Callithrix jacchus: one gene and its partners. The protein of the gene in region 4 interacts with the protein of the main gene of each other region in a pairwise test. Links are inferred from orthologs where the notes say so. Each region holds a gene or a part of one and is shown on either strand. Other genes may lie near its edges.

The links.
Region 1: the proteins of FAM9B (region 4) and FERD3L interact in binary tests that used the Homo sapiens proteins (3 or more experiments, as listed by UniProt). The two-hybrid records come from large-scale screens. The link is inferred for Callithrix jacchus from reciprocal best matches to the Homo sapiens genes FAM9B and FERD3L.
Region 2: the proteins of FAM9B (region 4) and SDCBP interact in binary tests that used the Homo sapiens proteins (3 or more experiments, as listed by UniProt). The two-hybrid records come from large-scale screens. The link is inferred for Callithrix jacchus from reciprocal best matches to the Homo sapiens genes FAM9B and SDCBP.
Region 3: the proteins of FAM9B (region 4) and PHYH interact in binary tests that used the Homo sapiens proteins (3 or more experiments, as listed by UniProt). The two-hybrid records come from large-scale screens. The link is inferred for Callithrix jacchus from reciprocal best matches to the Homo sapiens genes FAM9B and PHYH.
Region 5: the proteins of FAM9B (region 4) and RUSC1 interact in binary tests that used the Homo sapiens proteins (3 or more experiments, as listed by UniProt). The two-hybrid records come from large-scale screens. The link is inferred for Callithrix jacchus from reciprocal best matches to the Homo sapiens genes FAM9B and RUSC1.
Region 6: the proteins of FAM9B (region 4) and TUFM interact in binary tests that used the Homo sapiens proteins (3 or more experiments, as listed by UniProt). The two-hybrid records come from large-scale screens. The link is inferred for Callithrix jacchus from reciprocal best matches to the Homo sapiens genes FAM9B and TUFM.
Region 7: the proteins of FAM9B (region 4) and CHRAC1 interact in binary tests that used the Homo sapiens proteins (3 or more experiments, as listed by UniProt). The two-hybrid records come from large-scale screens. The link is inferred for Callithrix jacchus from reciprocal best matches to the Homo sapiens genes FAM9B and CHRAC1.

What each region holds. Positions count from the first base shown.
Region 1 is NC_133512.1:39,274,513-39,278,792, forward strand, and holds the start of FERD3L (fer3-like protein), read left to right. Parts: upstream 1-1,480; 5' UTR 1,481-1,994; coding exon 1,995-2,483; 3' UTR 2,484-4,280. UniProt on the Homo sapiens protein: Transcription factor that binds to the E-box and functions as inhibitor of transcription. DNA binding requires dimerization with an E protein. Inhibits transcription activation by ASCL1/MASH1 by sequestering E proteins.
Region 2 is NC_133517.1:14,796,746-14,800,845, forward strand, and holds the start of SDCBP (syntenin-1), read left to right. Parts: upstream 1-1,300; 5' UTR 1,301-1,327; exon of another isoform or gene 1,328-1,346; intron 1,347-4,100. UniProt on the Homo sapiens protein: Multifunctional adapter protein involved in diverse array of functions including trafficking of transmembrane proteins, neuro and immunomodulation, exosome biogenesis, and tumorigenesis.
Region 3 is NC_133508.1:14,325,849-14,329,348, forward strand, and holds part of PHYH (phytanoyl-CoA dioxygenase, peroxisomal), read right to left. Parts: intron 1,907-3,500; coding exon 1,796-1,906; intron 503-1,795; coding exon 334-502; intron 1-333. UniProt on the Homo sapiens protein: Catalyzes the 2-hydroxylation of not only racemic phytanoyl-CoA and the isomers of 3-methylhexadecanoyl-CoA, but also a variety of other mono-branched 3-methylacyl-CoA esters (with a chain length of at least seven carbon atoms) and straight-chain acyl-CoA esters (with a chain length longer than four carbon atoms).
Region 4 is NC_133524.1:9,247,216-9,251,321, forward strand, and holds the start of FAM9B (protein FAM9B), read right to left. Parts: upstream 2,801-4,106; 5' UTR 2,697-2,800; intron 1,965-2,696; 5' UTR 1,899-1,964; coding exon 1,808-1,898; intron 1,323-1,807; coding exon 1,202-1,322; intron 1,023-1,201; coding exon 991-1,022; intron 1-990. UniProt on the Homo sapiens protein: May play a role in meiosis.
Region 5 is NC_133519.1:15,748,535-15,752,717, reverse strand, and holds the start of RUSC1 (AP-4 complex accessory subunit RUSC1), read right to left. Parts: upstream 2,801-4,183; intron 2,799-2,800; coding exon of another isoform or gene 2,279-2,798; exon of another isoform or gene 2,200-2,278; 5' UTR 2,073-2,199; coding exon 710-2,072; intron 444-709; coding exon 33-443; exon of another isoform or gene 1-32. Other genes in the region: FDPS (farnesyl pyrophosphate synthase), read right to left, coding at 3,242-3,442, 3,937-4,071, 4,173-4,183. UniProt on the Homo sapiens protein: Associates with the adapter-like complex 4 (AP-4) and may therefore play a role in vesicular trafficking of proteins at the trans-Golgi network. Signaling adapter which plays a role in neuronal differentiation.
Region 6 is NC_133513.1:29,105,866-29,110,081, forward strand, and holds the start of TUFM (elongation factor Tu, mitochondrial), read left to right. Parts: upstream 1-1,416; 5' UTR 1,417-1,495; coding exon 1,496-1,547; intron 1,548-1,658; coding exon 1,659-1,853; intron 1,854-2,347; coding exon 2,348-2,514; intron 2,515-2,769; coding exon 2,770-2,874; intron 2,875-2,962; coding exon 2,963-3,127; intron 3,128-3,273; coding exon 3,274-3,406; intron 3,407-3,490; coding exon 3,491-3,595; intron 3,596-3,724; coding exon 3,725-3,876; intron 3,877-3,969; coding exon 3,970-4,089; intron 4,090-4,216. UniProt on the Homo sapiens protein: GTP hydrolase that promotes the GTP-dependent binding of aminoacyl-tRNA to the A-site of ribosomes during protein biosynthesis. Also plays a role in the regulation of autophagy and innate immunity.
Region 7 is NC_133517.1:57,028,427-57,032,534, reverse strand, and holds the start of CHRAC1 (chromatin accessibility complex protein 1), read left to right. Parts: upstream 1-1,308; 5' UTR 1,309-1,374; coding exon 1,375-1,533; intron 1,534-1,973; exon of another isoform or gene 1,974-2,289; intron 2,290-3,897; coding exon 3,898-4,024; intron 4,025-4,108. UniProt on the Homo sapiens protein: Forms a complex with DNA polymerase epsilon subunit POLE3 and binds naked DNA, which is then incorporated into chromatin, aided by the nucleosome remodeling activity of ISWI/SNF2H and ACF1.

The DNA of each region.
Region 1 (4,280 bases), on a different chromosome or scaffold from region 4:
CTGAGAAGCATTTAACATAATTTAAAAATCAACAATAAATTTGCCCAAATATTTAATAACATATTAATTTAAACAAGGGTTAGAAAGCATGTTAGTACTTTTTTGAAACAAAAATCAATTCTCCCATTTACTAGCTTCATAGCCACTGTTGACGAACCTATTAGTTTTTGTTTTTCAGCCTTCCCTTTGAAAGAAGCTTAGTAAAAATCAATGAAGTAATATCCAGGATCTCAGTCTCATTAACATCTTCCGGATCACAAATTTCAATTATTCTCTGCCTGAGTTATCACAATGCAAACTGGAGAATGAAGGGTAAACACAAGCAAATGAGATAAAATCTATTAAAAGATCGAGAGACACCAGACACAAATGGGCTAAAAGAAGAAAAAGAAGAATTCAAAGTTATACGTTTTGGTTACACACCGAGAGGTTAGGAAGAACAAAACGAATTGAGATTACCTGTTATAGAAATAGGCGGTTTCTGGGAGCTGTCCAATGTCCTGAGTGAACCATCACAGCCACAACTTACCCCTTCATAGGGACTGATGTCCTCAGCGGTTCTCTTTTGAACCGGAATGTTTCTACATTCATCTTTTTAGGCTGCTTCTTCTACTCTACCTTAAAAATTATCTTCTAATCTGTCACTTTTACCCAATGGGTCTTTTAAGTAAATCTTTACACAGTACTGTGTAATTAAGTAAATATAATTATTGGCAAACAAGGAAAAAAAAGAACCCGTTTGTTAAAATATTAGGGATACTAGAGATAATATAAAATCAGGAAAATCTTATTTTTCTTATGCCAAATTTAAAATTTATCTCAAAAAATAATGACCTAATGATAGCCAAAAGTCTTCCTTATATATAATGCAATAAATAATTGTTTCTGCTCTTAAATCTTAATGTAGGACAACACAAATCAATGAGGAAAATACGCCAGATGGAAGTGTTAGGTTTTTTCTTTGTTCAGAAACAAATACTCGCTCCGCAACTTAAAAGTCGGAGGACTTCTCAGCAGAGGACTCCTTGGCTTATCAAGGGCAAACCGCATTTCTGAAAGGAGCTTGAAGTGGTTTTGTTTGTGGGGAGAGTTTGCAAAATGTCCTGAGCTTAAATTTCTCATTTTATTGCCATTATAACTTTTCCTCTTGGAATAAAATCCTCTATTTTACATGACTAGGAGGTAAAGTAAGGAAAGGAAAGTCAAGTATCTCAATTGTTAAGCTGATTGCCTCCAAACAGACTTTCGAAGTCAGGGTTTGTAACGTGGCAGGAGAGCTGTTTGCGATGCCCTGGAAAGAAAAAGAAAGCCGGTTCCAACAGCGACTCTAGGGAATGCACTCTCGGCCCCCCTGCCATGCTTACTTAAGCTAATGGAAGGTCTTGCCTTTCAGCAGCCGCTGCACTGGGATACCAGACAAACAGCTACCCTCGATCCCAGGCAGGCAGGGCCCCTCTTCAGGACATCATTAAAAGCGCATGCACTTGCTCCACATCCATTGGCAGATGGTGGCAAGATTCAAGACTCCTACCCTGAAGTCAAGGAGAAGCCATCGCGCTGGAAAACATCCTCGCTTTGAAAATCCAAAACGAAATTAAAGAACTACACGAGATAAGGAGCCTAGAGAACATTAGTTGGCTGCAGGGGTGAGGAGAGACACAAAAAGCACAGCAGGTAAGAGCTGGGGGTTTTTGCCAAGAAGGAACTGTCCCGGGTGGCGCAGAGAAAAGGATCTCAGAACTGGAGTCCTGTCCCTTTGAGTCTTCCATGCGTGCTCAAGCTTGTCATCTTCCATAAGCTTCGAGAGGAGGGATGTTGTCAGAGCATTCCTTATCGCTGCGACTAATCCTGTTATCAGCTTGGTGATAAATATTTAATGTTCCCTGGCCCTTCGGTGATGATGCCCCATCAGATTCAAGGCTGTTAAGAATCCCCACCAGCAGCCTCGCTCCTCCCTGCGGAAAACCGATGAGAGGCAGGGCCAAGCCGAAGCGATGGCGGCCTATCCGGAGAGCTGCGTGGACGCCACGGTGCTGGGCTTCGTTGCAGACCTGTCCCTGGCCTCCCCGAGACGCCCTCTCCTCTGCGACTTCGCACCTGGGGCCTCCTTCAGGGACCCAGCCCTTGCGCTCCGAGAGGGAAGACCCAGGAGGATGGAGCGGTTTGAGGAGGGGGGCCCAGAAGAAGAGGACCAGGGGGACGGGGAAGAGGAGGAGGAAGAGGAGCGCGGGAGAGGCACCTCCCTATTAGGCCGCCCCAAGAGGAAAAGAGTGATCACCTACGCCCAGCGCCAGGCCGCCAACATCCGCGAGAGGAAGCGGATGTTCAACCTCAACGAGGCCTTTGACCAGCTGCGGAGGAAGGTGCCCACGTTTGCTTACGAGAAAAGGCTGTCCCGGATCGAGACCCTCCGCCTGGCCATTGTCTACATCTCCTTCATGACCGAGCTCTTGGAGAGCTGCGAGAAGAAGGAAAGCGGCTGAGCCGGGTGGGGAGAGTGCCCCCTCCTCGTCTGGGCGCGCTCGGGCTGGGGTGTGTCGGGACCGGGCGCGGGGTGCGGCCGGAGGGCAAGGAGGGACGCCCCAAGACAGAACGTCTGGCCTTCTGGAGCTCGGGTTAGGGATTGTAAGATCCCCAAGACCCCCGAGCAGAGTGGCTGCTGTAGAGTTCTTACCTACGCGACTACCCGTCCTAAGTGGAGTCGGTGTCAGGGGAGAGCCGGGAAGTCAGAGCGCTTGAGGATAAGGGGCCGTCCAGGCTGCTTCTGTGGGTTGGGTGGGTGGGAAGCAAACCCTCCTCGGAAATGGCAGACTTTGGAGCGTCTATAGAATCTAATCTCTCCTCTTTACCCTTTTTTTTTTCATAGAAATAATAATGTAGAAATTCTTACTTTTTAAAAAGCTTCAAGAGTCGGTGCCACGCCATCCCCGGCAGGCGCTCCAGCGGGCGCCTGCGTGGAGGATCTGGAGCAGACGCCCCGAGGGGCTCAGGATCATCTCTCTGGTCCTCCGAGGCGTGTCCAGGAACTGAGAGAAGGGAAAATGGAAGGCAGAGCAGTCGAGGGGAACTGCTGACAAAGTGCGACCTCTGCGAAGGGACATCCTTCCTGTCTTCCTTTGCCTCTTCCTCCCCTACCTTTCTCTCTCCCCTGCGCCAGCCCTCTCTTTCTTTCTCTCTCTCTCTTTCCACCTAGTTGATCCCAGAGGGACCATAGCTCCCTGTCCCAGGGCCACAGTGGTGTGGAGTCAGTGTCTTAGCCAGAGTGCCATTCTACGCTTTGCATCTTAAGTGCAGCGTCAGCTTCCGGTTCCAGTGCCTTCAGGCCCCAGCCAGAGTAAGGGACGAGTGCACTTGGGTCACTTCTGGGCCTGCAGCGGGCCTTGGGCGCCCTATGGCTTAGCCGACAGCCGGCGCTACCAACTCTGTGAAGGGGCTTGGATCTTTCTAGGAGCAGTGCCGCCTGAGCGCGCACTTTGACATTTTTAGCACTAGGGAGGAAAGATGTCTTTCACTCTTATGGCTTCTAGAGACTACCAGGAGAGACAAAAAGTCTAAAGAGGAGACGCGTTCAGACGCCTTGCAAAACGGCTGCCACGCAGAAGTTGAAGCGGGTCCATGCTGAGAGGCTGCCTCCAGTTTGGACCCCACTCTATTCCAGGAATCTCCCTTCTAGGTGATGTGCCAGAACTGGGGTCTTTTAGAAAGGAGGGAGTACCTGAGGAGAGGAACCTGATTGAATAATTCCCCCCAAACGTAAATTTAGTAATCCTAAAGGATAATCCCCAGTGATTATTCCAACACTTTATTTTGCCCCTCTTTATGCACAGGAATAGGCAGGCGCCTGTGAGAACACCTAATTCACTTAATCATGCTTTCAGAAATAGAATTCATTTCATTAATAGGTAATATATACTTCTAGAAAGTCTGGAAAACAAAAGTTCAAAAAAGAAAAAAACCGAATCACCCCACATTACCATATTGTTAGCATTTTCATCTATTTCTTTCCAGTCTTTTTCCCCCCTATGCAGTTATAAATTCAATATATTTAACTAATTCAACATACTTTGGGATACTGATATTTTTTCACTTGACATTCTAGAAGGTGCAATTGTTTTCCCTTAACTTGAAATATTATTCAAATGTGGTTTTGATTACCATATCTTATTGTCATATCCATGTATCACAACATCAGCCCTTTACAGATAGCTATTTCCTTTTTTAAAAAAATAAATGATGCTGCTAAGAGCATTCTTGTAAATGTCTTCTCTGTCTATTACTAT
Region 2 (4,100 bases), on a different chromosome or scaffold from region 4:
GTAATTATATAATGAGAATTTCATAAATGCCAAAAAAAATCCAAAATTGGAAACATTTCTGGTCCCAAGCATTTTGGCTTAGGATCAGCTTGTTTTAAACTTGTTCATGAAAATTTACTGTAATTGCTTTTCATTCTATTTTTTAGGGGAGGGGTGTCAATTTTCCTGGATTTTCTATGTTAGATAACCATCTCATCTGAAAACAAAAAGTTTTATTTTCTCATTCCCAATCTACCTTGTGATTATTTTTAAACGTCCATTTTCATCAGCCTAACTACATATAACCTTACTGAGAGCAAAGTTTTCTTTTTTTATTTTTAATTTTTTATTGCATTTTAGGTTTTGGGGTACATGTGAAAGTTTTCATCTTTAGTTGTCACCTCTTTTACCCTCAGATTTTTTTTATTAGTTTTGCCAGATATGATTGTGGCACTAATTTAGCTATAAACTGCTTGTAAATGCTATTTTGTCAAGCACTCTACAGTATTCCACGGTAACTATGATTATTCTTGGGTAAACTGTGCCTCAGTCTGTCTGTAATGCGATGTTGTATTTATTTTATAGACTGATGTGAAGACCAAATAAGACTATACACTAAGTTCGTAGAGCTATGGCTGGCACATCATCAGCCCTCAAGAAATCATCGTTATGTTTTTGTATTAGGAAACAGTAATTACTTTTGCGCAGCACCACACAGAACTCTCAACAGCGAAGGAATATCAGCTCAGGCGGACAAAGATTAGTAACTTCCCCTTCGACCCCCCACATTTCAAACAGAAAAATAAGGCAGGAGTTGAGAAGGGGTAGTGAGTGAGAGGAACATTTGTGAGCCTATGGTGGAGAGGTACAGCAAGAGGAGAGTGAGGTTAGGACAGCAGTGGTGGAAGTCGAAGGCATCCCAAGAGGGAGCATGGGCTCCCGAGACCTGTTTGAATTGTAGGCGACCAGAACCAAGCGACCGTGAGCTGCTATACACACGGTAGTGAGTGGGTGGAAAGGGGCCAGCGGGCACGAACTGCCAGAAGAGCGGAGAAGACGCGGAGCATAACCGCGGGGCAGCGGCCAGTTGGCACAGCGGGCCACCTGCACGGCCCTACATTGCCAGATACCGGTAGCTGCAGGAACTACCCACGCCCAGGTCCCTTTACTCCCGCCGCCCGGTTACCTAGGGAACCGGATCACCTGACCCGGGGCCGTGCGCCTGCGCGGGCGGAAGGCGGGGGCGGTGCCGTGACGCGCCTCGGGGGCGGTCCTCCGGCTCTCGCCGCTCTGCTACCCTTGGGCCTCAGAAGTCCGTGCCAGTGACCGGAGGAGGCGGCGGCCGTGAGTGAGTCCTTGTGGGCTAGGTGAGAGGCCGAAAGGGGGCAAGAGGGACGCCGGTGCCGGGTCCCGGGCGCGGGGACGTGGGGCAGAGGCGTGATGGTCCCCGGGCCTTTTAACCGAGAGCGTCCTGGTCGCAGCCGTTTTCGGGAGGCGGCGGCGACGCCCTCTCCTCAGGGGCTCCGCGCCCCTCCCTGCGCCGTGCTGGCTGCGGGGCAAATTTGCGGGAGCAGCGCGCTCTGCTCCCCGGGACCCCGCGGGTTTCGAGCTCCTCTCCGGGCTGGGGCTGGGGCTGGGGTGGGTAGAGCCCCGAGGCACGGCCGGGTGAACGCCGGCAACCGCGGCCCCAGCTCTGGGATTCTTCCTGGGACCGTCTCTCGATCCTCGTTGTTCTCGCTCGCTAAGATCTCGAGACAAGTAAAGAAAGAGCCTCTGGCCGCGGTTTCTCCCCGCGTTTCTTGGGCTGCGCTTCCTTTTGGGTTATTTGGAACGTCCTGTCTCCCCGCGTTTCTTGGGCTGTGCTTCCTTTTGGGTTATTAGGAACGTCCTGGATTTGAAAGCAGGAAGGAGGTGTTTAGTGGGCGAAACCTTGACTTGTTTGGAAGCGGGTGGGGAGAGGTTGTTCGCCCTGAGCTTTTTCCTGGTGCTGTTGGACCTGAAGGAGAAACGTTTCCCGCAGAGTATGTTTAGAAGGAAATACTCCTGAGATCTGATGACTCACAGCTTTCCTTTCAGGATTTCCTTGTAATGATGGGAAAGGGAAGGCATATGGATGCGGAAAGTTTTTACTTTGATCAAAGTGGGATTATTGAGTCATGGAGGCTTCGAATGTGCACATTTTTGAAAGGAGTTTCTAGGATCATCTATTCTATATAACCGCATACACATTTACGGTTATTTTTTCCATTACGTACTTTCCTTAGAAAGTACACTCGGTTTACCGAGCTCTAACATCCGCTTGTTTAGTCTCTCCATTATAAACGAAATTGAACTTCAGAGACATTTTTAGTTTTGGGCATTATAGGAAAAGATGTAAAAGTCATAAAAGGGGAAGAATTTGCTAATGGTTGCCAGTTAAATGTACTGTTTAATTAAACAGTTTCTTAAAATGTGCGTGGCACAACTATTTTCCCTGTTGCCAGATTTGGGTCCTTTTTATAGGTATTAAATGCCAAGAGATTATAAAAAAGGAAAGCTCCCCAAACAACTTTAAAATACTTTCTACACTTAGTAATAGTTACGTTCACATTGATTAATTTTCTTTCAAGTGCTGCCAACATCTTTTGTAAATATTGTCTTCGAGTAGGTAAACGGTCACGTGTCTCAAAATTTAAGCAGCATACAAAGGTATATAGTATGAAGTCTCCTTCCTTTTGGCAGGCAGCCAACTGTTTTAAATTTCTTGGGTATTCATCCGGGAATATCCTATCTACACAGGCAAACATACAAACTGCATCTGTCTCCTTTCTTTTAACATAAACGTTAACATTTTATATACTGCTCCACATTTTGCTCTTATTTTTCCAGTTATTGATAATATTTTGGAACTTTCTAATATCAGCATATATAGCTTTCAGGTCTTTGGCTGTTACAGTCAGTGCTGCAGTGAATGAACTTTTACATATGTTGCTTCCTTTGTGCACATGTGTTTGTACAGTTCAGGTCTTGAAATGATACTGCAGAGTTGAAGGGTATTTGAATTTAGAATTTTAGTAAGCTACTGCAAACTCATTCTCCATGGGAATTGTACTAGTTTACGCTCCCACTAGTAGTGTATGAGTGTTTCTCAAAGCCTTGCTGTCGGAGAGTATTGTCAAACTTTGGATTTTTGCCAGTTCAGTAGCTGAGAAATGGAATCCTAGGGGTAAGAATTAATTATTCTACTTAGAGTGGACTTTATATGGACATACTTCTTAATGCCTGATCTTCAGAAACTCCCAGGATATTTATTAAAAAGCAGAGTACCTAAGTCCTTCCATGAAATTTGTATCTGTTCAGGAAGCTGAGGTTTTTTGTTTTTTGTTTTTTGTTTTTTTTGAGAGGAGTCTTGCTCCGTTGCCAGGTTGGAGTGCAGTGGCGCAATCTCGGCTCACTGTAACCTCCGTCTCCTGGGTTCAAGCGATTCTTCCGCCTCAGCCTCCCGAGTAGCTGGGACCACAGATGCATGCCACCACGCCCGGCTAATTTTTTTGTATTTTTAGTAGAGACAGGGTTTCACGATGGCCAGGATGGGCTCGATCTCTTGACCTTGTGATCCGCCTGCCTCAGCCTTCGAAGTGCTGGGATTACAGGCGTGAGCCACCGCTCCCGGCCCAGGAAGCTGTTTTTATAATAACTAGAGCCTCTGGTAATTTGGCTCTGATGAATAGCCATATTGAGAACATTGCTCTGGAAGGCTGCTTAGGATATATAAAATTGTGTTTCTAGACTCCATGTATGAGCTATCTGGAATGCTTACCATCTGGGGGACATGTTATTTTTTCATTTTTTTACTTTTTATTTTTTTTGAGATGGAATTTTGCTGTGTTGCTCAGGCTGGTCTCAAACTCCTGGGTTAAAGCAATCCTCCTACCTCGGCCTCCCAAAGTGCTAGGATTACAGGCATGAGCCATGGTTCCTGGCCTGATACTTTATTTTTATTTTTTACATTTTTCATTCATTTTATGAATAGTTCGCATAAGTGAAAATAAAGAGATAATGCAACACAACTTTACTAGAAATTTTAATAACTGCTTCAACAAAAGAAACACAAATTAGTATTCCAGATTTTCCTGGTTTTG
Region 3 (3,500 bases), on a different chromosome or scaffold from region 4:
CCAGTGTGGGCAACAGAGTGGGATGCCATCTCCACTGCACTCCAGTGTGGGCAACAGAGTGGGATGCCATCTCCACTGCACTCCAGTGTGGGCAACAGAGTGGGATGCCATCTCCACAAAACAAAGGAAAATAAAATAAAATCTGCTAACTTTACTCCCACATCCAGCTCTAAGACTGATATGGTTCCTAGGCTCAAGTGATCCACCTGCCTAGGCCTCCCAGGGTGCTGGGATTACACAGGTGAGCCACTGCGCCGGGCCAGATCAGCGGGTTTTACAGGCAGGCATACGCACTGGCAGTGAAGCGGAAGCAAAGCAAGAGCGGTCTCTGACCTCGGGGAGAGTGCAGTATCTGAAGAGCTCCTTATCTTCCTGGAAATCCTGGACCTTTGTGACCGTCTTCTCACTGTGAGCATATTCTGATTTCAAAATGGCCACGTCTCTCATTACCGTTAATCCTAATGGTTTCACCTCCTTTCTGCAGATTTTTTCAAACTCATTCCTAGAAAATTAAACTTGCAAATGTTGTTGTTACCACTAGCTTGAAGCACCTGCCCAGCCCTCCTCTTCAGAAAGCTTTGCAGACTTGAGGGGTAGTGTCTCTGCACTCAGTTGACCTCCAGCTCGAGGGAGAATAATTCCAGTGAAAGCAAGGAGAAATTGTCAGGTTAGAATCCACTACCAGAATTAAATCATTCCTTAGCTTAGCATACTAGTAGGGAAATGTTATGATTTGGTTACATTGTAATAATAATAGCAAACACTTCTGTAGCACTTACCATGGGCTCTATTCAAAGTGCTTTCTGTATATTTCACCTTATTTGGTCCTAACAACAGTAGGACATAGGTACTATTATTATTATTATCTTGAGATGGAGTCTTGCTCAGTTGCCCAGGCTGGAGTGCAGTGGTGCGATCTGGACTCACTGTAACCTCTGCCTCCCAGGTTCAAGCAATTCTCCTGCCTCAGCCTCCCAGTAGCTGGGATTACAGGCACCTGCCACCACTCCCGGCTAACTTTTTTTTTTTTAATTACTTACTCGTGTAATCCCAGCACCCTGGGAGGCCTAGGCAGGTGGATCACTTGAGCCTAGGAACTATTACTCTTAGAGCTGGATGTGGAAAGGAGTTAAATTTTTAGTAGAGATGGTATTTCACTATGTTAGCCAGGCTTGTCTTGAACCCCTGACCTCAAACGATTCACCCACCTCAGTCTCTCAAAGTGCTGGGATTACAGGTGTGAACCACCATGCCTGACAAGTACTATTACTATCCCCATTTTACAGATGAGAAATCGGAGGCATGGGATGTTGAGTAAACTGCCCCAGGACACATGGTATTAAGTGGCAGAGCTGACACTGAAGCCTGGGTGTGGTGGCTCCCAACTGTAATCCCAGCAACTCAGGAGGGTGAGGCCAGGAATTCAAGACCAGCCTGGGCAGCATAGTGAGACCCCCATCTCTAAAAACAAATTAAAAATTAGCCAAGTGTGGTGGTGAACACATGTGGTCCCAGCTAGTCAGGAGGCTAAGGCAGGATGATTGCTTGAGCCCAGGAATTCAAGGCTGCAGTGAGCTATGATCGCACCACTGCACTCCAGCCTACACAACAGAGCAAGACCCTTTCTCTATAAAAAATAAAAAGGCCAGTTTGGCACCTGAGCCCATGCTTTTAAATATTTCCCAACAAACCAAATAATTAAAAAAATCTGTACATGCAGGAGTGAATCCACCACGTATTCTCATTACGTGCACACAATACATACTTTTGTAAAATAACAAATAGTGTTACTGACCGAAACCGTTGAATATCAGCATCAGATACCAGATTTTTAATTACAAGATACCCATTTTCTTCATAAAATTTTCTCTGTTCCAGGGTGAGAACATTATTATCCAGACTATACCTAAAGGAGAAAAAGAATCCCCAAATAAGTTACAGTACAGGCTGTGTACAATGGCTCACACCTGTAATCCCAGCACTTTGGAAGGCCGAGGCAAGCGGATCACTTGAGGTCAGGAGTTCAAGACCAGCCCAGGCAACGTGATGAAACTGTCTCTACAAGAAATACTGGATGTGCCACTGCACTTTGGCTTGGGTGACAGAGTGATACCCTGTCTCAAAAAAAATGTTTTTTTACTTACAACATAAAAATATGTTTTATACATATTTTTATAAAATATGTTTAAAAAATATGAGGCCAGGTGTGGCGGCTCATGCCTATAATCTGAGCACTTTGGGAGGCTGAGGCGGGTGGATCAACTGAGGTCAAGAGTTTGAGACCAGTTTGCGACAGAGTGAGACTCCGTCTCAAAAACAAAAACAAACACAAACAAACAAAAAACCCTAAGAAATGTTCATGCTCTTCAATCCAGCATTCCTTTTTTTTTTTTTTTTTTGAGACAGAGTTTTGCTCTTATTGCCCAGGCTGGAGTGCAATGCATAGTCTTGGCTCACTGTAATCTCCACCTCCCGAGTTCAAGTGATTCTGCTGTATCTACCTCCCAAGTAGTTGGGATTACAGGCACCCGCCACCATGTCCGGCTAATCTTTTGGTATTTTTAGCAGAGACAGAGTTTCACCATTTTGGCGAGGGTGGTCTCAAACTTCTGCTCAAACTCCTGAGCTGAATTGATCCAGCTGCCTCAGCCTCCCAAAGTGCTGGGATTACAGGTGTGAACCACCTTGCCTGGCCCAATCCAGCATTTCTACGACCAAGGAAATAATTTGAAAACTTAAGCCTTATGTTCAAAACATTAACTATAGTCACCAAAAATAGTGCATTAATAGAAGAAAAATTAACTACTGACATTATGTTCACTCAGTGAATATGATTCAGACATTAAAAATTAAGAACATATAATAGTATAGACAATGCTTACCATAATAAAACATTTTTTACAATGATATAAAACCAAGACATGAAAAGATATGAAAAAAAGAAAAGCCTGCAAAGAAAGACACCAAAGCATTTTTTTTTTTTTTTTCCGAGACAGAGTTTCGCTCTTGTTACCCAGGCTGGAGTGCAATAGCGCGATCTCAGCTCACTGCAACCTCCGCCTCCTGGGTTCAGGCAATTCTCCTGCCTCAGCCTCCTGAGTAGCTGGGATTACAGGCACGCGCCACCATGCCCAGCTAATTTTTGTATTTTTAGTAGAGACGGGGTTTCACCATGTTGACCAGGATGGTCTCTATCTCTTGACCTCGTGATCCACCCGCCTCGGCCTCCCAAAGTGCTGGGATTACAGGCGTGAGCCACCGCGCCCAGCCCACCAAAGCAATTTTTAACAGTGCTTGCCTTCAGTAAGGGAATTAAGAATGATTTTTTTTTAACTCCTTCTATTTCTCTGATGTTTCTGTAATGAATGAATACATATGACTTTTCACATGGAAGACAAATTCAATAAATTTTATATTTTTAACTGTCCAGTTGATTCACTCCAAAAAGTAACAAAATCCAAATAAATGTACTCAAATCCACCCAACCTATTCCTTAAGAT
Region 4 (4,106 bases):
AACACACTCAATGTATTAGGCAACTCACAAAACCAGCACTTTGTCACCACCAAGCGAGCAAAGCTTTCCAAATATTCTGCTTATGTGTATTATCGCTATAGAAAAGCTGAAAACTGAATTGAGCTTTTTAAAAATAAGAGTATTGTCTCCATCATCTCTACAGAAATTTTCTCAAACTTTTTTGAAAATACGGTCCTATAACAGTCAGTGCAACTAACATGTAACATGCCTATACAAAATGTATGAGTTTTTGGATCCAATGACATGTTTCCCACTGGGTAGAAAAGTTGTCTTTCCTTTTCTACTACACAGTTTATTGCTGGAATAATAATAGAAAATCATTTTCGAGAATTCAATTTTTTTAAACAAAATCAGAAAGCTGTGACAATAGAATAGCTGAATTAGAAAGATGAAAAACTCCTATTAAACACTCTGAGTACATAGGGACAGGAAGAGGAGAACAACAGACACCTGGGCCTACTTGAGGGTGGCAGGCAGGAGGAGAGTGAGGATGAAAACCACCCAGCAGGTACTATGCTTATAATCCTGGGTGACAAAATAATCTGTACACCAAACCCCTGTGACACGCAATGTATCTAACAAACCTGTACATGTACCCTCAAACCTAAAGTAAAAGATTGAAAAAAAAACTGATATATGACTTAATCTGTGTACACTGAAAGGATTGAATAGAGCTGTTTCTCCTCCAATGTCCTCTAATATCCCCCAACAATTAACTTTCCATGTGTATGAAAGAAAAGCCATCCCTCTCGATTCACCATTGTTAGAAGCATTCTTACATTACACATTAATGATCACAAAGGTAAGAAAAATTTATCAAACAGATTATGGTAAATACTTAAGTTAAATGCTACATATGAGAAGAAGGCATGTAAGACAGTCTGTCATCCACTAATTCACATAACCTACTGTAACAGTTGTACCGTTGAAAACAATTTTCATAAACTACAGATACTTCCTAAGGCATACCTGCAATATCTTCTGGCTTGTTGGTATCAACCCTATAAAAAAAAAAGTTACATCAAAATTTTAACATAGGACTACACAAAATGTCGTGTTTGTTGGGAAAAAATGTCTTATGTGAAATGTTCTGCATAGACTAGAACGGTGATGACATGATCCAAAGCTGACTTTTCCTAAAAGGCTCTATCCGACAGACAACAGTGACTTCACACTTTACCCCTCATATTCATCTGTTTCATCAAGAGGTTCTCTTTCCCCCTGCTCAGCAGTTACATCTTCCTCCTTTGTTTCTGTAAAAGGGTTTCTTTCCTCACGTTCATCAATTACTGGATCCTTTCCTGCATCAAAATTTAAAAGACAAATCCGTTTTTAGAGGAAGACGCTGTTGTGGACATTTTTCATGGAGAAACGTACCGTTTGTGGACTTGTTTTTGGCTGTCTGCCAACTAAAGCTTTAAAGCAGGGCTATACGTGGAATCACCGGCTCCTGACCATTTAATGGAGGCACTTTTGGAAGCCCTTGGGGTTCAAGTCCCAGTAAACGACACACTACAGGTCAGACTCCTTGGACGCCAGGACCTCAGCCATGGAGAAGAGCTACTCTGAGAGCACCTGTAACCCTGCCTGAGGTGGAGCCTCCCGTGGGAAGTCTAAGGCCCTCGAGCCTGCTTTGAAAACCGGGATGTCTTAGCACGTGCACAGTGGACTCCAAAGCCATGAAGAGGCCGGGGACCTTGGGTTGCCAGTGTGATCCCCAGCAGAGATCAGACAGACGTCTCCTTGGGCGTGCGCCTGCTTCCGGGTCCCCTTGGGCTGTGTTTACCTGCATGCTCTTTGTCCTGGGCAGCCATACCTTGAGCTTCCAAGTGGGCCTTGGCAGCCCTCCTGCTGTGCTTTCTGCCCCTGCGTTCCATGGCTGGCCGTCCTGGGAAACTAGAGGCGACCCCGGAACCTGGTGAGCGCAAAGACGACTAAGGAAGCTAAGGAAACGAGGCGTCAGAAAGGAAAGCCATTGGGATCGCGGGTTCAAGATGGGTGGGGTTGGCCCTCCCCGAGTCTCCTGTGGGAGCAGGAGGGAGGGAGAAGATGCCAGTGTCCCCTCCCGTCCTGGCCCGTCCAGCCCGTCCCCGGGGGTGGCTGCAGAGTTCACAGCTGCCTCACACACCTGAACTCCACGGCCTCTGAGGCATCCTACCCGCGCCTTTGGGACAGAGTTTGGCCTTGCCCTTGGATCCCCAAGAGACCCTGAGTGGCTGGGAGGGCGGCGGAGTGACACAGGATCTCCCCAGCCATCTCCAGAGGAATGTCAGGAGCTACACTGCCACTCGCTCTCCTGGATGCACAGGGCACCTCCAGTGACCTGAAGTGTCCTGTTCTGACAGGATGCTGGGCAGGAGAGACCCACTCAGACCGTCCCCCATAACGCCCCCGGCCCGCCTCACTCCCCTCCCCGGCACCGTCAGCCCCTCCCCCTTGCACACCTACAGAAGCACCCAGAACACTCCCTCGTCCTGGGGGGCCACCCAGGTGGCTCCAGCTCCCTCCCTGCTCCAGCCACCCCAGTCTACCCTCAGTGCCTCGCCCTGACCTAGGCCCCAGGTGAGGACCCCAGGACCATTTCCTCACAGGTCAGCTGGCGCCCAGCTCTTCACACCCTGGTTCCCAGACGGTCTTGTGCCCACCTTCCCACCTCCCTGCCTCAAGTGCGTCACCTGAGGGACCCCTGATGTGGCTCCTTCACAGAACCTACAGAAGACACTGGCACTACGAGACTGTCTTAGAAAGAGACCCGGCCTGGCTTCCCACGCTCCTCACTGATTGGTCAGCTCAGTGCGCATGCGCATGCGCATGCCGGTGAAGGACTGTGTGGGGCCAACCCCCTGCTGCCACGCCTCTCCTTCCCCTTAAGGGACCGACCAGGGCTTACTGTTGACTGAAGTTGGGGTGGCCCTTTGGGGCCTCCATCCCCACAATCTTCTGGCTCCTCCTCTTGGGGTGGGATGCAAGGACTCGGAATGGAGGCCAAGTGGACAAGGCCTCCTAGCATCTCGCCCCTGGACTCGTTCCAGCCACCCCTGCCCCTTTGGCTGGAATGGCCATCACCCTATGGGTGGTGCCCAGGCTCCTTTCCATTCCCTGTGTGCTTCCAACATGCCCTGCTGCATCCTTTTTATCAATGGATTGCGCTTTTATGTTTTCTGTTTTTGACACTGAGTCTCGCTCTATTGCCCAGGTTGGAGTGCAGTGGTGCAATCTCGGCTCACTACAACCTCTGCCTCCCGGGTCGAAGCTATCCTTCTGCCTCAACCTCCCGACGAGCTGGGATTACAGGCTCCCAACACCAAGCCCTGCTAATTTTTTAAATTTTCTTTTCTTTTCTTTCTTTTTTTTTTGAGACAGAGTTTTCGCTCGTTACCCAGGCTGGAGTGCAATGGCGCGATCTCGGCTCACCGCAACCTCCGCCTCCTGGGTTCAGGCAATTCTCCTGCCTCAGCCTCCTGAGTAGCTGGGATTACAGGCACGCACCACCATGCCCATCTAATTTTTTGTATTTTTAGTAGAGACGGGGTTTCACCATATTGACCAGGATGGTCTCGATCTCTTGACCTCGTGATCCACCCACCTCGGCCTCCCAAAGCGCTGGGATTACAGGCTTGAGCCACTGCGCCTGGCCTAATTTTCTTATTTTTATTTTTTGGCTGATCTCAAACTCTTGACCTCGGGTGATCCGCCTGCCTATGCCTCTCAAAGTGCTGAGGTTACAGGTGTGAGCCACCCCACCAGGCCCACAACCTTTTTTGTTTCCTCACTACTTTTCTTGCCCACAGGCTTGCCCAGGCTTGCCCACAAACCCTCATGCTCCAGACTTTTCCAGACATATCCCACAACCTTCACCCTCAAATGCCTTAATATCGTTAACTCAGCTTGTTTCCACCTCCAGTCTTCTATAATAGGTCGTAAAGGTTGTTTTGGAGTTGGGAGTGAATAAATACTGCCTAGAGTTGGTAAATCGAGCTACAGAGGTTCATTATGTTATTGAAATTATAAAGGCAGTCATCAGGAAAACTAATCAACAGCCTTTAATGTCTATATAACGAGAAAGAGCACACACAAAGCATACA
Region 5 (4,183 bases), on a different chromosome or scaffold from region 4:
TGGCCCGCGGGGCTTGCCCGGGTCCGTCTTACGTAGCCTGGGCTGAGGCGATGGGCTCCTGGTCCAGCGAGGGGCCTTCGGCGGACGAGGTTGCGGTGGCAGCGGGGGGGCGGGTACCTGGCGGGGTGGGGGAGCCGCGGCGGGGAAGGTGCTACTTCTGGGAAAGAGCGGGGACAGCAGCAGTGCCAGCTCGGGGCTGGCCAGGCAGGGCAAGGCTCCCCGAGTCGGAGGCGAATAGGCTCCCACTGGGGACAGGCGGACCGGCAGCAGCTGTTCCTCTGGGGGGGTCGGCGCCCCCAGCAGCCGCAGCCCGGCGCCGGGCCACCCGGCCAGAGGCGCCAGGAGCAGAGACCCAGCTGCGCCCGCGCCCCCACCCTCCAACAGGGGGCGCCCGTCGGCCGAGAACCGGAAAACCAGGGGCCGAGGGAGCAGGAGGGGACCGGCTGCAGGCAGGATTGGCGGGGCCAGGCGCAGAGGGAAGGAGGGCAGCGGGATGGGCAGCCAGGCAAGGAGGGGCGGGAAAAAGAGGGAGCAAAGAGTTAGTCCCGTAACCCAATGACCAGTTTCCCTTTCCCGGAGCGCTCCCTGGTAGAAGGGCCGGGGAGGATGGGAGACACAGAATGGAGGGAAGACAGGGGGCGGGGTTGGAAGGCTAGGAGGCGTGAGCGGCCGAAGCCCAGCCCTCCTCCCGCTTCTGACAACCTCTTACCCTCCAGGCCGGCCTGCGCGCCCGGCTCCTTCTGCTCCTTCGCGGCTGGGGCCTCCTCACCAGCCGCGGGGCTGACAGCCCGGCTCTCCTCGGACTGCCCTTCCGCTATGGGCTGCAGTCCTGGTCGGTTCTTCTTTCTTCGGGGAGGGACAGGTGGGGGTGGGGGCCGGGGCGGGACCAAAGCCCAGCCAGCTGGGGGGTCTCGAGGCGGGACTGGCGGGGGTGGGGCTCGGCTTCGGGACCGGAGTTCCTTGAAGGTGGTGACTTCCCGAGGAGGTCCAGAGGAGCCGCCCAGCGACCCCGACGGGGGCAGCTCAGTGTCGGGCGAGAAGACTATGAGCCAGTCACTGCGATCTTTCTTGGCCTGCGGGACGAGGGGCAGCCCTGGGCCCCGCTTGCGCTTCTGGGCCAGCTCGTGGAAGGACGTGATTGTCCGGTGGGGCACCGGCTCCTCGCTGACGTCACTTCTCCATCCTCCATCAATTTTCCCTGCATCTGTTTTCGAGCCAGAATCAGTTATTGTGTTGTTTTTCCAACCAGAGTCGATTTTTTCAGGTTCACTTTTCCAGCTAGAGTTAACATTCCCGTTGTTTTTCCAACCAGTGTTATTGTTTTCAGTGATTTTACAGTCAGCTTTAGTTTTCTCTGTGTCAATTTTCCAAATGGGGTTAATCTTCCAACTGGGCTCCGTTTTCCCAGCGTCGATTTTTCCATCATCCACCTCTAAGAGCTCCGAGGTAGGGAGATCCTGCTCCGCGCTCTCGTCTTCTTCCTCCAAGCCTGGGGAAGGGAGGTCCTGGCAGGTGGTCAGGGCATTGCAGTTCGAATCCAGGCCAGGGTCGGGTGAAGAAGCAGATCCGGAGCAGGAATCAGGAGAGCAGCAGAAGCTGTCCGGTGAGCAGGTGCCAGGGCCTGCTGAAGCCAGTGGGGAGCCCTGCTCCAGGGGGATGATACTGGGCTGAGGGTGGGCATCCTCATCACCAGGGAGGTCCCGCAAGTAGACAGAGACAGGGGACTCATCTGGGCTAAGATCTGAGCAGGAGCTGAGCGAGGAGGAGCAGCCTGGGTCTGAGGGAGAGGCAGCCCCCTCTTCCTCCTGTGACGGGTCTTGCCGGTTTTCTAGGCCTGGACCGTTCTCTTGGCAGCACCGGCAGGGCACAGCTGGGCTGTTGGAATTGGCGTCCACCAAGGTGCCACTGCAGGGACCCCTGCTCTCCTTGCCCCCAGTGTCTCCTGGGAGAGGGGGTGTGCTCAAGGGCCCCTCCCGTAGCTCAGGACGGCGGGACAAGTGCAGGCCCAGGGAGACGTGCTGGAGGTGGATGTGGTTGAGGTTGCAGAGTAGAGCTCTCTGAGGGGACAGCATTGTGCCGGCGGCGATGGGATGGCCTCTAGAGAACCAGGAGGATTGGGTCTCTCACATCCACCTACCTGGCAACCACAGGTGTAGACCTAGAAGACAGGGGTGGCGAAGCCCAGCCACTGAGGACGAGCTGCCGGAAGGACACCGAGGTGACCGGCGGCAGCAGCAGGCCTGAAGGCTCTGACTGCTTTGGAAGATATTTCAATGAGATGCAAATCGCAATCGACTGGCCATTAGTTTCCACTGCAGTGTTTGCAGGTGGAGTCGAATGTAACCCCCCGGGAATGGAGCGGGGAGGGTCAGAGAACGCGGCTGCGCTCTGGATCTCCGAAGGGGGGCGGGGGCCTGGAAGAGGTCGGGGCCCTGAATGGACTGCTGGGTCCCTGCTGCCGCAATCTGACCCTGCCCTCCAGCCTACCCCTTACTCCTAGATTAAGGGACCCAAGAAGACCCACCCAGATGCCCTGAAAGGAGGCAGGGGATGGGGGTGGGGCAATACGCAGAGTTTGCCTGGTAAATGCAGAAAAGGGGTGGCGGCTGGAGGAGAAAAGGATGCAGCAGCCGTCAGCTTCTCAACTCCGCATCCTCCGGCTGCCTCGGCTGGGCTCCAGCCTGCGCCCTCGCCCCTTGGAACAGCCGTGTGTCCATCATTCTCTCCGCATTCGTCTCCATCATTCAGCCACCACCGCACCCTTTCTCTATTCATTTGTCCAGCCCCGCCCAGCGTGCCCTGGTCTATCGGTCTACACCCATGGGCCGAGCCCTCCTCACCAGGGTCCTCCTGGAACCGCTCCGGCCTTGGGCTTGTCCGCGGCTCCCACGGTCCCCGCCCGGCGGGGAACAGAGCAGGAGGGGAGGGGCACTAGGACAACCCACTCTTCGCCGCGCAGCTGCACCCCTTCGCGCATGGGCGTGGCGTAGCTCAGCCCCGCCCCTAGCGCTTAGCGTCTGGTTTCACTCGCCCAGAGGGTTGGCTATATCCCAAGCTTTTGACCCCAAGGGGCGCGGATGCCAAGGCCCCTGGGTTCTGCTTCCGTGCACCGAGTCCTCCCAGCAGCCCACCCCGAGCATTCAGAGAACCAGACTCCGGCTGGGCCAAGCATTAACAGAACACAAGATTACACAATAATTTATTTATTGAGAGCCTCCTCTCCGCCCTTGCAGTCTCTAGGTCACTTTTTCCGCTTGTAGATTTTGCGCGCAAGCCCCAGAAAGATAGCTGGGGGCAGGGGCGCTGCGTACTGTTCAATCAGAGCCATAATGTGGTTGTAACTGTCTTCCTCATACTTCGAGAACACAGCCGGCAGATCCAGCTCCTCATATAATGCCTTCACTCTGGCCACCTTCTCAGCCTCCTTCTGCCCGTAATTTTCCTGGAAGGGATTGGAGACAGGAAGCTGGGCTTGGCCTTCCCCAGAGCCTCCAGGACACTCACCCCCAACCAATTCCCTTCATTCACATATTCCAGAACATCTCCAAAGCCACCCACTCCCTTCTTGCCTCCAATTTTCAAGTGTCTCTAGATAGCTAAGATCACAAGCTTCCCTTCACCATCCCAAATATTCCCCACATATTGGCTCAGACCCCAGCATCCTCTACTCCAGGGTTTTTCAACCTTGGCACAATTGAAATTTGGGACCAGATAATCCTGTCTGGGGAGCTGTTCTGTGTGTTACATGTTTGGCGACATCTTTGGCTCCTGCCAACTAGATGCCTGTACCACACACGGAGTTGTGATGACGATGACAAAAAACGTCTGCTGACATTGCCAAATGTCCCCTCGGACAAAACTGCCTCCAGTTGGGAACCACTGCTCTGGCCCTTTCTCACCAGCTCAGGGACCCACCACCCGCCCGCTCTCAAGCACCTTCAGGATCTGGCGCTGTTCCGGAGTGGACCGTTGCAGACACTGGACCACGAGCCAGCTGCATTTGTTGTCCTGGATGTCAGTGCCAACTTTGCCAGTCACACTGGGGTCCCCAAAGAGGTCAAGGTAATCATCCTGGGTGGGGGGAGGAGCAGAAAAGGAGGAAACAGATGAGGCCCCCAGGCAGAGGAGTGAAGCTGGTGCCTGTTCCCTGCAGCTGCCTCCTGCCTTCCTACCTGAATCTGAA
Region 6 (4,216 bases), on a different chromosome or scaffold from region 4:
CCTGAGCTCAGGAGATCCTTCTGCCTCAGCCTCCTGAGTAGCGGGGGCTACAGGTACATGCTACTGTTAGCATGCCTGGTTAATTAAAAAAAAAAAAAGATTGTAGCGATGCGGGGGGCAGGGGTGGAGTGTCTCCTAATCTGCCCAGGCTGGTCTTGAACTCCTGACTTCAAACGATCCTCCCACCTCAGCCTCCCAAAGTGCTGGGACTATAGGCATGAGCCACCGTGCCAAACGTTTTAGAAGGGTGTTGGTTATATACCTTCCCAGTATGTGCACAGAATCATAATCTCCAGGGGAGGAATTAGGGAATCTCTTTGAAACAAACACTGTCCACTGAGTCTCAGGATCTGATGAGTTCCGAAACATAAATCAGGGTTAAGCAGCCACAATTAACACTTCAGAGTGCCATGCGGAAGCTGCCATGAGATGATGGATGTGAAAGTCAAGGGTCATTGACTACCCCTGCACTCATTCATTCAATATTTACTGCATGCTCCACCCTGTTAGGTGCTGGGGCCACAGACGGAATAAAAGAGACTCAGGCTGCCCTTAAAGGCTCCCCTAGTTGGCTCCTCGTCCTTGGTGTCATCTGTAAAATTAGGTGGGTGGGGCGGCGCCCAACGGAACTCCTCCTTAGGCAGCTGAGTGGCCATAAGGATGGGCACCGAAGCTGTCTGTCTGGTGGGCTCTGGCCCTGTGAGGTCAAGCAGTACAGGGTCCCCGCAAGCTGCCTGACCTCACAGGGCCCCACCCTGACTACCACCCAGGACCACATCCGTGATTCCTACCCAGTTCATCTCCTTTCAGGGCCAGATGAAAGAATCGCCCTATGAAGTGGATACTACCATTCCAATTTTACAGATAAGAAAACAAAGTGTCAGCAGAGAGAGGGGTCACACTTCACCCCACCCGCGAAAGGCGTCCAGGACCTGGTCCTACCTCCAGCTGCGGCAGAGGTGGCCAGATGTCTCCCAAGACCCGCGTAGCGAGTCGTACTCCGGGGGACTCGTGGTCTCTCTCTGTCGGTCTCAGGAGATTCCTAGGCAGTGGGAGCCGCCGCTGCCTCCCGTAGCCTAAGCCCCTCCCTCGGATCCGGCCTAGCCCGCCAGACTCCCACCCTGGGCGCTTCCACAGCCCGCCGCCCCAGGAACTACCATGCCCATGAGCCTTCGCTGCGTCGGTGCTTTAGGGGCGCTCCCCAGTGCCCCCCGCGGCCTCCAAAGAGAACTACGTTGCCCATCAGCCCGTGAGGCCCGAATAGTGGAAACCCTCTACCTCATTCTTCGCCCCCGAGACACATGCCCCCTACATGACGTCTTCAGCCGCGCGCCAGAAGTCCGCGGAGACGGCCATAGACACTGGCGGGTAGAGGGGACCGGACTTGCCCTCCTGCCCTGTACTTCCGCCGGAAGTGCCTTCTAGCCGCAAGCGCCCTTCATCCGCTGCGCGCTCCGGCTGCTTGTCCCGGTTCCCCGGTTCCCGGGGCGCGTGTATGGCCACAATGGCGGCCGCCACCCTGCTGCGTGCGACGACCCGTTTCAGCGGTGAGGGGTCGGGGAGGGTGATGGCGGCCCAGGAACACATTGGGGGCGTGGTAGGTGGCTGGGTTTGGTCTGAGCCTCGTCCTGCCTGACTCCAAGCTTGGGTCCCGGCAGGTCTCGCCGCCAGCCCGACTTTCCTGCTGCAGGGTCTGTTGCGGCCGCTGAAGGCCCCGGCATTGTCCCTCTTGTGCCGCAGCTTGGCCTTGGAGGCCAAGAAGACTTACGTGCGCGACAAGCCACACGTGAATGTGGGCACCATTGGCCATGTGGACCACGGCAAGACAACGCTGACTGCAGCCATCACGAAGAGTGAGTGGGGTGGGCGCGTCTAGCAACGCCCTATCAACTGCTGGAACGTCGAGCCAGGGAGGCGAGACCAGCAGAGTGGAGGAGGAGTTTACTGTGGCCCCCAAGTTTACTGCTGGAGGAGTTTACTGTGGCCCCCAAGTTTACTGCTGGAGGAGTTTACTGTGGCCCCAAGAGCCCGAACTTATGCGGCGGGTGAATTGGGAGATGCAGGAGACAGATTTCCCCTGATCAGGAAGAACTTTGTGATCCTCCAGCGGCTTCTCTCTAGCCGTAGGGAATGCTCTGCAAGCAGAGTCTGTACTCTTCTAAAGAAGTCATAGGGCCGACCCTTAAGGCTCTCTTAACATTTCTTTCTGACCCATAGTTCTCTCTGCTGGAAGAGTTAGAGATTGGAGGAGGTTGTGTCTTAGGTGGGGAGAGTTCAGGGGTGTGGTCTAAGCTCTGCTTCTAGCACTGGAATTTTAGCTGAGAGGTGTATTCTCTTCCTCCTTTAGTTCTAGCCGAGGGAGGTGGGGCTAAGTTCAAGAAGTACGAGGAGATTGACAATGCCCCGGAGGAGCGAGCCCGGGGTATCACCATCAATGCGGCCCATGTGGAGTATAGCACTGCCGCCCGCCACTACGCCCACACAGACTGCCCGGGTCATGCAGATTATGTTAAGGTGAGGGTTGCAGGGGACACTGGAGACAGGGCCAGAAGCTGCCTCATTTCAGGATAAATCTTAGGCTTGTGGGGAGGGGGTTAAGATATTCAGTGTTTGGATATAAGATGGTAGGTTTGTGGGCATGGCCACTCAGAATGGGTGGTGGTGAGATGGCCAAGAAAGGGGGCCTCAATTTCTAAGTGCTACACTTGGCTGCATGGATGTGGACTGAAGAACTCGTTGAACCTGGTTGTTTCCTCTCCTCCTACCCAGAATATGATCACAGGCACCGCACCTCTTGATGGCTGCATCCTGGTGGTAGCAGCCAATGATGGCCCCATGCCCCAGACTCGAGAGCACTTACTGCTGGCCAGACAGGTACTCCAACCCTGAGTAGGGGTGCAAAGGGGGAGAATGGGTAGTTGGGCCCCTCCAGACACTGTCCCTGTCTCTCTGCCATCTACAGATTGGGGTGGAGCATGTGGTGGTGTATGTGAACAAGGCTGACGCTGTCCAGGACTCTGAGATGGTGGAGCTGGTGGAGCTGGAGATCCGGGAACTGCTCACTGAGTTTGGCTATAAAGGACAGGAGACCCCAGTCATCGTAGGCTCTGCTCTCTGTGCCCTTGAGGTGAAGGCCGGGTCAGGCAGAGTGGCTGCTGCAGAGAGTCAGGCTAGATGGTCAACCAGAGCTCTGCTCTGTGTCTGGGAAGTGGTTTTTGGTAATTGAGAGGAGCGGAATACGAATTTCAGAGTCCTGTCACTTCCCCTCAACAGGGTCGGGACCCTGAGTTAGGCCTGAAGTCTGTGCAGAAGCTTCTGGATGCTGTGGACACTTACATCCCCGTGCCCACCCGGGACCTGGAGAAGCCTTTCCTGATGCCCGTAGAGTCGGTGTTCTCCATCCCTGGTGAGGACTGTGCCTGCTCCTACACACTCTCTATAGCAGCAGCGTAGCTCTGGGTCCCTGATATCCTGTCCTGTTACTTCCCAGGCCGTGGCACTGTGGTGACAGGTACGCTAGAGCGTGGCATTTTAAAGAAGGGAGATGACTGTGAGCTCCTGGGACATAGCAAGAATATCCGCACTGTGGTGACAGGTACGGGAGGCCAGCCTGGGGAGCAGGGGCTGGCTGCAGGGTGGCCTTACCCCTGGCAGATCCCTTGTGCCTTCCCTCTGCCTCACACTCGCTTCCCTTCTCCCTTTTCCTTTTCCCCTTCCCTTCTAGGCATTGAGATGTTCCACAAGAACCTGGAGCGGGCCGAGGCCGGAGATAACCTCGGGGCCCTGGTCCGAGGCTTGAAGAGGGAGGATGTACGGCGGGGCCTGGTCATGGTCAAGCCGGGTTCCATCCAGGCGTGCCCCAAGGTGGAGGCCCAGGTGAGGGCTCCAGGTGATGGTGGGCAGGGCTGAGCCAAGCTGTCCCCAGCATTCCAGTCAAGCCCAGCTCACCCTCATTGCTCTCTTCTCCAGGTTTACATCCTCAGCAAGGAGGAAGGTGGCCGCCACAAGCCCTTTGTGTCCCACTACATGCCTATCATGTTCTCCATGACGTGGGACATGGCCTGTCGGGTTATCCTGCCCCCAGGGAAGGTATGGTGGGTGGGAGGAATGTAGGGTGGAGGGGGGACTTTTTATATCACCTTTGCTTCACTTAGTTCCAAAGACAGACTGTGACAATCCAAGTGGCTTTATTTCCTTGGGTGGAAAGGGGCTGCTT
Region 7 (4,108 bases), on a different chromosome or scaffold from region 4:
TCAGACACGCACGTCAGCTGTAAGAGGGCAGGGGCCATGGCAGCCCTGCTCACCGGTTGAACCCTTGCGCTAGCAATGCCTGACATGTATTTCTGTGCTCAATTATTTGGGCCGGGACCTGAGGTCACAGTGGTGAAGAAGACACTACACTCAACAGGCTCCAATTCAAACCTATGCCAAAATGTGCTCCTGCCACAGTGCTCCCTGAGTACACGGCTCTTTACCGAGGCCTTTCTGATACCTCAGAAAGCTGTGCTGTAGTCCACGTCACCTCAGCTCCCTCTTGAACTCAGACCCCAAATCCTACCACTTTCCAAGATCCTGGTAAAAGTTAAGTTGGACCCCTTACTTTTCCAAGGGCCTCCCCGCTCTAAAGGAGTGAATTCTGAGGTCCCCAAGGCACTCCCTGTTCTGGCCCCTAACCATCTCCTGCCACTCTCCTCTCAGCTGCTGTCCCCTTGGTCCAGCCGGCCTCCTGAGGGCCACGTTCCCGGGTTCTAATTACTTTCTACCTGGTCTCGATGATTCCGCCCTTACGCGCTCCCACGCCCTCCCAGCTGGCAGCTGCAGGGATCCTTTTAAAACTGTCCGGGACTCCTTAGCTCAAAGCCTTCCACGACTTCCCATTTTTTTCAGAGAAAAAAATCCATCAGGACCTAGCCCCGGGCTGCCTGTCAGACCTCAGCGAGCACACCCGGCTCTGGACGCCTTCTCTCGGAGCAGTCCCGGAGAGGCAGTTGCCGCGGGCTCCGGACCCTCCTCAGGGCAGCTCCCCCAGCCCCGCCCACAGGAAGGCGCTTCTCCCCATTACCCCGCGGCGCAGCGAGCCCGGCCTCGCCGCATCGCCCGCGCTGCTGCTCTCTGCTCCTCCACGGGCCGCCTAGCTACTGGTGCAGGACGCCTTCGCTAGTCCGCTTGGCCGTCCCCCGACGACTCTGTGCTGCAGGAAAGTCCACGGCACCACGCCCGGCCCTGGCACAGCGCAGGCGCTTAACACACAGCACCGAGCGATGAGGCTCGGACTCAAAGAGCTTTGCTTGCCCATTCGCAGCGCCCTGGACCTCAAAATCCCGTCCCGCGATCACGGTTCGCAGGCTCCTGAGTGGGACGCCTCCGCCCAGCCCGCGTCGGGCCTCGCACTCGGCGCGGGGGTGGGAGAAGGGGGGGCAGGGTCCGAGCGCCAGCGCATGCGCAGGGCGCGCGCGCGAGGCATCACGGGGTTCGTAGTCTCCCGAAGAGGCCGCTCCCGGCCGCGCGACCGCGCCTCCCCACACTACAACTCCCACGGGGCAGCGGGCGCGGCTCCTCGCACCCACCGGCTGGCCGGGTAAGACAGCCACTTCGCGGTCGGGCCCGCCGGCTGCCGCCCGCGCAATGAGCGGGAAGATGGCGGACGTGGTCGTGGGCAAAGACAAGTGCGGGGAGCAGCGGCTCGTCTCGCTGCCCTTGTCACGCATCCGGGTCATCATGAAGAGCTCCCCAGAGGTGTCCAGCATCAACCAGGAGGCGCTGGTGCTCACGGCCAAGGCCACGGTGAGGGGGCGGGGGTGGGGCCGCCTTTGCTCGTTGCGCCCCGCCCCGCCAGGCTCCCGGCACTGTCCAGTCCCCTTAGACCCGAGCGCCTCCCGCTGCCCTTACCGGGCTCGCGCGCGCCCCCCCTCTCCCTCCCACGCCCCCCCTCTCCCTCCCACGCCGGCGCGCGCCGGAGTGGCAGCGCGCCCCTACCCGCGGCACCCCCTCCCTTTCTCGCGCGTCTTCGCCCCGCCCACCCCGCGCCGCTCCCTCCCTGTCTCTAGTTTCTTCGTCCCATACACCGCGACCCGCTCCCGCCCTTTCTCGCTCTTTTCGCTCCTCCTTTCCTCGCGCACCTTCGGCCCCGTCCACCCCGTCGCGCTCCCGCCCTCCATCGCGTGTTTCCGTCCCGCAAACCCATAAGCTCCCAAGTTCCCTTGCGCGCCTTTTGTTCCGCCCACCTGTATGCTCCCGTAGTCCCTCGCGCACCGCGCTCAGCTTCCGGCCCTACCCGTAGACTTCGGCGCCAAGTGGAGTTGGCCTCATTTGGTTTCTTTGGCGGCTCTTTCACCCGCGACTCCCTATTCCTGGCCTTCCTTTTTCTTGCCGTTGGTCTGCTTCTTTCTTTGAGGGTCCTAACTCCTCCAGTGTTCCGTGGGAGGGGCAGCCGGGCGCTCCACCCAAGGCTCGAGGCTTTTCTCCCGCGGGTCAGGCGCCAGCTCCAGCGCTCCCAGGCTTTCGAGCCCCCCGCTCCGCACCACACCTGGCACCTCCTCTAAGAGAAAGCACATCCCCCAGCCAGAATTTAAGGAAGTCTAGGGGACCTAGATTTATAGCCTCTTAAGCATCCTCCTGGGTACAAAATAGATTTTGTCTTTTTAAAAAACATTGCGTGTTGATAGTGTTAGGCTAGATGTTTTTCTGTTCTGAGACTGGGCCATGTTTTAGCTACACAGTTAAAGGCTTTAACTTGTCTTAGATCCTATTTCCCAGTCCCGGCTTGTATTTAAGTACATAATGTCCCTACAGTGTTCGACCAGAACTAAGGGAAATGGGAAATTACAGATTTCTCGCCTGCTGTATTATACCAGAGCCATGTTTTCCTAGAGCCCAGGGAAGTAATTACATATTCAGCATTTCACCTGGGGACATTTGTGTTTTCCTGTACAATTTCATTTTATTACTTTTAGGGAATGAGGATTTATGCAGGCACTTAAGATTTCTAATTAATTTTTTTGATACGGAGTCTCACTCTGTTCCCCAGGCTGGAGTGCAGTGCAGATCTTGCTCACTGCAACCTCAGCCTCCCTACTCGCTGGGATTACAGCCACCCGCCATGACACTCGGCTGATTTTTGTATTTTTTTTTTGGTAGAGACAGGGTTTCACGATGTTGCCCAAATTGGTCTTGAACACCTGACCTCAGGTGATCCGTCTGTCTTGGCCTCCCAAAATGCTGGGATTACAGGCTTGAGCCACCATGCCCATCCTCATCCCTTATTAACTGAACTAGATGCATTGAAATCAAAACCTTGAGGAAGAGGCTTAGTTTATCCTCTGTAAAAATGAAGACCTGGCCCTGCTTTAAGAACTGTGGTTGGGGAGGGGAAGATGTCCGGTTGTTGCATTAGGTCTGAGGATTGTCAGTTCTAGAAAAGTCAGCAGAATAGGAGGTGTGGTCACTATCGTTATAGGTGAACCACCTTAGAAACAGTGTATGCAAATAGAAGACAAAATGTATTCCTGAGCCAAACAGAATTTTTGAATGGCTTTTTGCTTCTTTTACTCTAGAGGTTGCTCATTGAACAGTTATGATTCGTATTTTTCATAAGTTAGACATCTAAGACTCTGGAAAATGCCTGCTTCTCCGCCAATTTTGATACCAGCCTTGCTTGCTTTCTGACCTCATGTTTTTCCTTTCCCCAGTGATATATTTATTTATTTGTTTTTAAGACGGAGTCTCACTCTTTTGCACAGGTTAGAGTGCTGCAACTTCCAACCTCCACGTCCCAAGTTCAAGTGATTCTCCTTCCTCAGCCTCCCAAGTGGCTGGGATTACAGGCACCTGCCACCATGCCCAACTAATTTTTGAATTTTTAGTAGAGATGGGGTTTCACCATGTTGGCCAGTCTGGTCTCAAACTCCTGATCTCAAGTGATCCGCCTGGCTCAGCTTCCCAAGGTGTTGGTATTACTGGGTGTGAGCCACCATGTCTGGCCTCCCCAGTGATTTCTTGTAATTTAATTTGAGAAACCAAGATAATCTGAAGTCTTAATGTAATTTTAAGCCTGTTATAAGCTTATCAACAGCATAATTTTAAAAATTGAGCTCTGGGGTAAATTTTCAAAGCACATCTTTCATTTTACTTTTTCTTTTTTTTTTTTAGGAGCTCTTTGTTCAATATCTAGCTACCTATTCCTACAGACATGGCAGTGGAAAGGAAAAGAAAGTACTGACTTACAGTGATTTAGCAAACACTGCAGAGGAATCAGAAACTTTTCAGTTTCTTACAGGTACTTAGTCTTTGAAACATTCTGGTTGAAAAATGAATAGTCAGCAATAGCTACTCCCATACCCCTTGCCTCCCTTCTGCTTTG